Tribolium castaneum: one gene and its partner. The protein of the gene in region 2 binds, or shares a complex with, the protein of the main gene of each other region. Links are inferred from orthologs where the notes say so. Each region holds a gene or a part of one and is shown on either strand. Other genes may lie near its edges.

The links.
Region 1: Asx (region 2) and sba share a complex: the UniProt entries of both Drosophila melanogaster proteins name them as parts of the polycomb repressive deubiquitinase (PR-DUB) complex. The link is inferred for Tribolium castaneum from reciprocal best matches to the Drosophila melanogaster genes Asx and sba.

The regions. Positions count from the first base shown.
Region 1 is NC_087397.1:5,887,474-5,891,307, forward strand, and holds part of sba (methyl-CpG-binding domain protein 5), read left to right. Parts: intron 1-3,550; coding exon 3,551-3,674; intron 3,675-3,834. UniProt on the Drosophila melanogaster protein: Non-catalytic component of the polycomb repressive deubiquitinase (PR-DUB) complex, a complex that specifically mediates deubiquitination of histone H2A monoubiquitinated at 'Lys-119' (H2AK118ub1). Important for maintaining stability of the PR-DUB complex.
Region 2 is NC_087398.1:15,858,724-15,862,557, reverse strand, and holds part of Asx (polycomb protein Asx), read right to left. Parts: intron 533-3,834; coding exon 1-532. UniProt on the Drosophila melanogaster protein: Non-catalytic component of the polycomb repressive deubiquitinase (PR-DUB) complex, a complex that specifically mediates deubiquitination of histone H2A monoubiquitinated at 'Lys-119' (H2AK118ub1).

The DNA of each region.
Region 1 (3,834 bases), on a different chromosome or scaffold from region 2:
GAGCTTTTGAAATATTATGTAACTGCTTGCCAGGTAAAGGAAACGATTTCCCCTATCTCGGCCCCCTCATGACTCATTTACCGCCGAATGAAATTTTAATATTCCTTTTAGAAGGTTGGTTGTACTAGCGCACAGTCGGATTCTGGCAAAACATTGTGTGTTATTTCGCATCGACAGTCGCAAATTCACTTTTTGCACGGTCGCTCGCAATGAAATTTTATGACGTCGTTAATTAGAGAAAATTTTATTGGACGATCCAGTGTCGGAACAAAAACTGAAATGAAGAACTCGACACTGAAATATATAGGCGTCCGTGTATTGTAAAGTAGGCGGATTCGAATCACATTCCTGTATCTATCATCATGGTGGACTATAAATCTGTTTGTGTCTAAACGCACCTGTTGTCTCGTATTGTATCCTGAACATTAACACTTTGCTAACTGACAAACAGTGAAAAAGTCTGTGGGATTGTTTTCCACTTTTTTCCACATCGAACATCTGGTCGGAATGTCTGCCAGATTAAAGCCGAAAAAATTTTACTCGAATTATTTTACAAAGTTGACTCAACTCTCGTAAATAGCGTTTGTGTACAACATTCGCGAGATAAAACTTCCTAAACGTGTTTATTTAATTTACGAACAGCTTTGGGAAGTTCTGATCGAGTTGCCAACTTGCGCGAGGTTTAATTCGAACAGAAAAATCTGACATTGCCACAAAGAACTTGATGAAGAAATTATTTGAATTGGAACGCTCTCGACTAGGTGCACGCAGAGGTGATTCCCCTGTAAACGTGTAATAATAGATTAGCTTTCTGCGGATAAGAAACGATGATATATTATTGTAAATTGCATCGTTTAAGCCGTCTCGAAGGTCATAGACTAAGCAATAATAGCTGCGTTTCGCCGGTAAAATAACCAATTACACGAGTGTCCGAAAAAGATTCTTGTAAAACAAAGAGAAGGTGAAAACGATGCAGTTGCATGCGAAACAATGCAAAAAGAATGTTAAATGGTCATCGGTTGAGTGGAAGCGAATGCGAGCAAAAACGAAACAAGGGAATGGTTAATATCGACGAAGATAATTATTCTTTAGACGTTAATTGGTACTTGGAACACAAGAGCTTTTTTATTGAAGTACAGTTACAATATTGAATGGATTCGGTTTCGTTTTGTCTTATTGAACAAAAACATTCGACCCAACGACCGCAAATGGTATAACTAGTACGTTGTCGTCAATAAGTGGCTCATAAAGTACTTTCGGATTCCTAATGTTCCGATTTACATACAACGTATACCTTTTGCGTTTAGGCTCGGATTCAATTATAATAAGTCAGGCTTAAGCAGATAAGATGTTAAAGACGGAATTAAGGGCGAGTTTGTAATTTCTGTCCTTGCGATCCGATTTGAATGTTTGATTGTGTTGCGAGTGAATTTTTGAAAAAATCCGGGACCTAGATTATCTTCTCTGGAATAATGGTCGACCGCCTAACAAAACCAGGACGCAGAGTAATGAAGTCTGATACAGATTATCTGTGTAATCGGGGCCCCCAGCGCGACGCTAATGAATTAATTTCGTGCGCTGCGAGGAAACAAGGCACCGCTTTGTCATCCCATTTTAATCTTGTTTAATTGTCTTTTAATCTAGCGTCGGAGTTAGGCGACAATCCCATTAATGATTCGCATCATTACTATTCATTTCGCACATGAGATCGGTCGTGGCGACTAATCGCTCGTTAAAAATTACCAACTGGAACTATCATCAATTCGATTTCGAGAAAAATCCCCTTTACGATTTTTTAATTGAAAAACCCACACTTGTCAGCTGTGATTGATTGCGCAGATTTGTTAAACCAACCTTGAATTTTTTCAAACGAGTTTTGTGACACAAAAGCCCAAAAGAATCTCAAATACGTGACCATTTAAAGAAACATTAAATCTGTTTATGACGTCCGACGATTAGGATACAAGGGTGTCATAAAATACAAACATACTACCGGAAAAAAGTTTACTACTTGATAGAGTGAAGAAATATTTACATAAACACCTGTCAGTAACCTCAGCAAGATAACCTTCAAGGATACAGATTTTTAGTTTCTGTGATAATTAGTGCGCATTTGTTTACCTTAAAAATATTCTTTTCGAAATATTTACACGGCTAGAATTATCTGGTTGTGTACAAATTTAATTTTATATAATTTTTAAACACGTCATTGTTTGCCTTAAGACGAGAATAGAAACGTCAATAAATGCGCACTTTGTGTTCGAGATATGTAACCGCAGAATTTTTCGCAACGGTGGGTTTAGTCAGAAACCTTGGAAACATTAATTGACCGCAAATCATCTTGAATGTCGAAAGATTAATAAAAATTTGCGGTTGACGCGCCAACAACTAGAAACTATTTTTGTCAGTTGCCACATATACAGCGTGATCCAGCTACATTTTCGGCTGAAAAGATTTAAAAAATTGAGAAAACATTTTTTATTTTATTTTTGGGTTTGCCACAGTGGCGTATTAGAACAGAACTATTGATTGAGCAATCTTGGCTGGGCGTACCTGTACAAAAACGCGTAAAAATGCGGTTCTAGCTCGTTCGTTTTAAAACCGCAGAGTTTAGCTTTAGCGATCATAAACCCGTTTAATGTTAACATAACCAGATAGATAACACTCCTTTTAATTTTTTGTTTGTCTAGGCGTCAAAGCAAACGGCTAATTACCAGTATGAGTAGCAATAAAACAAAATCGTTTCGTTTTGTATATTGAGCAAACACGACCCGGGAGTATGTTTGAATAAGGAGCTGCACAATGTGTCCATGCATATTCATAAACTACTCAGCTGCAATCTGTGAGACTCTTCAAGTCCTGTTTTCACGACTGGATGATCCGTCTAGCGCAGCTTATTAATTTGCATGTGACTATATTAAAGCTGGCTCGGAATCGATTTCATTGTGTGGATAATTGAAACGATTAAATTTTTGCGATTTGCATAAGATTTACCGGAAAAATTGTTGGAGTCTGTGTTGAAATCTCGTCTGAACATCTGCTCCGAATTGAATAGCCCTTCATTTCTCTGGAGCGCTCTTGGCAACTTGTACCTTTTATTCTATTGTTTCGTTTGTGTGACGCTCGAACAAGTATTTCACTTAACTTGTGTTACAATAAAAACACTTTCAAATAGGCGGTAGAAAAAATAACGTATGACGCTCGGGACCGCTTCCAGTTTGTATGGTCGTAATTAAGCGAAATGAGGAGCGGAGATATTATCTAGTGTTACTGAATTGTGAATAGTAAGGCTGTAAATCATGTAAGTTAGTGTGTGGTTGTTCTCTAGTCTCGAGTTTCGATCTTTATCGTATCAAACGACCGTACATTGGAACTATTTGGTTCATTAACCGAGATGTAAAGGTGTTGTCTTTGATTCCGTACTTTGTTAAATGGGAAACCATAAACGTGTTCATTGCTTTCCATTAACTCGACATTAAAACACTGTCAAAGCTATTTTAACTCCTCACAATTATTTCTAGAAATAAATCCAACTGCTTTTTTGTTTCAGCCCAAGTAACACAGCTTTAAGTTCTCCGGAACAAGTCAAAGAGTATCTCCTCACGTCGGGCACTTGCAAGTGTGGATTAGAATGTCATTTCAAATATGACAACACCTTTAATTTCGATCCTAAGGTAAGTGAAACGAAGCAACAAGTTTGCCGAAAAGTCGATGCAATTTTGACAAGAGCCTCGACACTGTCGAGAAAATGCGAAGCGGTAAAGATAAGGGTGTTTGGAGCAAACATCATTTCAACGTCTAGATACAAAAGGTAATCGTTTTTAGCGAAACGGG
Region 2 (3,834 bases):
GGATTCACCAGAGACGAAGTACTGACAACCGAAGGCAAACAAACGATGGTAGTTGGCGGAATCACAGTCGTTACTGTCTTACTAACAGAGGGCGTGACAGTCGAATTCGTTCCATTGCTCGAACTGACTGTACTTGTTATGAGACTATCGTTACTAATAATTTCCGGTGTTAGAGTCACTTCCAGCTCGAGTTTGACTTGATTTCCGGTGAATTCCTGATAGTTTTGGTTCGGTTTGTTATTGGAGGTGGTGGTGGCGTTGGTGGCGTTATCATTGTCAGTGGTTCCCAAAGCCGCTGCCACCATTTCCGAATCCATTTTCACATCGTAAGGCCAATCGTTTGGAACAGGGAAATTTCCTTGTTCTAGTCTCACTTCGAGTTCTTCTTGCATCGGAATCACTTCGACGTGTTCGGTGGGATTCTCCTGACCGACGATGCCGGCAGGAACAGACTCTAACGCGTGCAAAGGCACTTCTAGAAGTTTCTCGGTGCTCGAATCGACTAAATCCCAACAGCAGCCTTCTGTTGGCGCTGAAAACATTTAAGGGCGATTTAGATTGTGGAAACAATTGACGCTGAATGTGCGATAATGAACATGGTGTTTTGGTTATACGATAGACTTTTGCAGACTCGACACGATTGATAAGTTATAAATCGTGACGGTTTTTAGACCACCAACCAAGACAAAAAATATTGAGCAAACAGATTTCCGTTGCATTTTTAAATAAAAAGTCTTAATGTGACTCGTTTGTATAGGTACTTACCCACACATTAGACCACGAAATTCAGTTTCGGATGAACGATTAAATTAGGCGACGTCTTTAAACCGTTTTTTTTTACAACTGCAATACATTTACCTGTAATGGAGTTAGTCCACTGAGGTAAACGAGAAATCATGAGCCAAAACTTCCTTTCATATCTAAATTTTGTATTATAATAAATTAAAGTAATTTAAGTACACATTATTTTTTTAGTAACCAATAGACTCAGTAAATGTTGCAGTGAGTCAAAAATTAAATTATATACAGGGGCGATTCACGAAAGCCTAACCAAATTCTCTATGCAACCACCATTACATTTCGCAATGATTCGTATTCGTATTCCTATTTTTGCTAAATGATGCAAATTCACTGCAAACTGTACAAATATCTGAGAACATATATAACACTGTTTTAAGACTAAAGTCATAATCCAGTGCTTATTTATTAATACTTGTGATCGTGGGACGGATTCAATTACAGGGACAAGAAATAAAAACAAGCCATCACTATCAGTGACATGTCCATAAGTCCAAGGGAGTAACGTTGTCATAAATTAATACTTGTCTTAAGTGATCAATATGGCAAATATTTGATACAAAGTTAATATTGAAAACAACGATGTTTAATGCAAACAGCTATTAGAAAGATTGGCCAAAAATTTCCTGTAATTTATTAAAACTGAGCTCCAAACTGAAGAAAGTTATCCACATTTAAAATAAGTAACACAGTTGTAATCGTATATAAAGTACAAGAACGGTAAGGAGATTTTACCGATCGAAAACAATTTTTTTCTTACTTTTTTTAAATTTATTAAATATTGTCACAATAATTGTCAATACAGCAGCTTATGACTACCGGTTGCTAGAGCTTATTCCAAATCTGGTGGCGAACTGACATTGTCAAAAATGACTGAATTTTGACAATAAACACATGTTTACTATTGAAAAAAAATTGTCCATAGGCGTCGTAATAAAATGATTTTCAAATCCACTGATAGTCTTTAAAAAATTATAGTGAGAGGCGTAAAATGAAGAATAATGAACAAATTATTAACAATAATAGTAATTTTTGTATGTATCATCGTCCTCAAAATTTATTAAAATAACAACTAAGTAAATTTTAGCGAAAAAAATGCACGCCCATGTATTTCATTATCTTAACCAAGTGAGTGCATTTCAAGAGACTTTTATGTCACTGTCAGTTCGCCACCAGACATGGAACCACCTTTACGTCCAAGGCGTCGACAAAATTACCTACTGATGCCAAATTTAGTTACCGACGCATTGGGCGTAGCAACTAGTAAACACCACACTTTGACAAGCCCATAAGCGTAAACATAAGCACAACATAAAGAAAACAAGAAAAATAGTTAATGTTCGTTTCAAAAATATTGTACGACCCATTTATTATTTTTTTACTGATCAAAACCGGATCAATTACGCTTTAATATTACCCTTAAAAATTATATGATGACGTCATGGCGACGTCATATTGACCACTGTAACTTATTCAGTCAAAACTGACCGCAGATAAAATGTTTTTGTATTTTCTGTTTTAGAAAAATAAAAGAATTATGAATTTTATGCATTACTTTAAGCTCACTCTGTACACTTCTTCAGCATTACTTTCAAAATTGGTACTTTGCTCTGTAACCACACAACTTTATTTATTGCTTTCCGTCTTATTCAAAAGTACTATTCTGTATTTTCGTTTCTTTACCACTAAAAATTGAAGAATGTTTTAATTTCGAAAAGAATTCCAGTAATTCGATGATTTATCAATTAGTTTTTTCTACAAGCAGACAATTTAAGAATAAAACGATAGATTCTATGCTTTGTATTCACATGGCTTCGTTTCATGCACAAAAATTAAAGTAACAAACTGTTCTATAAAAAAGAGTTGGTGTGTTCGATAATTTATATGTTGGTTCATCAGAAAAATTAACAACAAAAAATAAAAAAACAAACACTAATACAACGTTTTCTTACCAGGTTTTCCTTATTTTATTCAATTTTATGGTACAACTTCCAATTTCTTACGATCACAATAAAAAATACGGTCAACTATAATACAAATTTGTTTGATCACAATAGTGCATAAATACATATTTACATGTATATGTTAAATGTCATTTTTATTACACTGCTTACATGTTCTCCAATGTCAAAAAATCATTTTTTGTAATCCCATGCTATTTTAATGATATTCGTTATGAAACGAGTTTTTAATATAATTTTTTGTAATTTGCCCCCTTTTTAACGTTTTTAAACAAAAATTGTTATTTTAGTCGATTTAGAGATTTTTTTAACAGTTGATAATGTTTCAATTTTGAAAATGAAAAATTGATTTCAAAATTTTGTTTTATCCAAATTCTGTCAAAAACAAGAATATAGATAATAATGAAAGTAATCTTGGATGAACTCCCCCTAAAATTTGTAAAATTTGCAAAAATACAGTCTCGAATTTGCTTCTTGCCAATCTGAAAATTTTCGTAAAATGTTCGGCAAATAATGACTATTATGACATTGCACTTGATGACGTTGCGTGCTTTAAGATGCCTATTAAAGCATTAAAAAAGCGGCAAATTACAAAGGAATTATTTATCATAAAGTATATTTCGCGGTCTCTGAAAGCCTAAAACTTTCGTGTTATTTTACCAAATGGTGTGCGCAAAAATGCACAAATGCCTGTAAAAAACTACCGTGAATGTTAAAAATATGTAAAGACGTAAACTACAGTTGTCGAAGCCAAAAAAAAATTCTATGTGAAAGGTCAAAATTATCGTTTTTCTTTTATTATTCTCGGAAACAGTAAGCCTTATCATGAAAATGGTCAGACAAAAGTTGCAGCTCATACCATCATCTATAAAAATTGTTTTATTTTTGTCCTACAAACAACCAATCCTGAGTTTTCTCCATTCGAAATATCGAAATACAATCAGGGTGTTCAATGTTAAAACACTACCTTCCGTCAAAATGGCATTTTGCGACCGCGAACGTAGATGTCTCGCACTAGTGCGCGAACTTTAATTTACACGGTGATTTAGAAGAGTCAGACAATCTTTTAAATGGT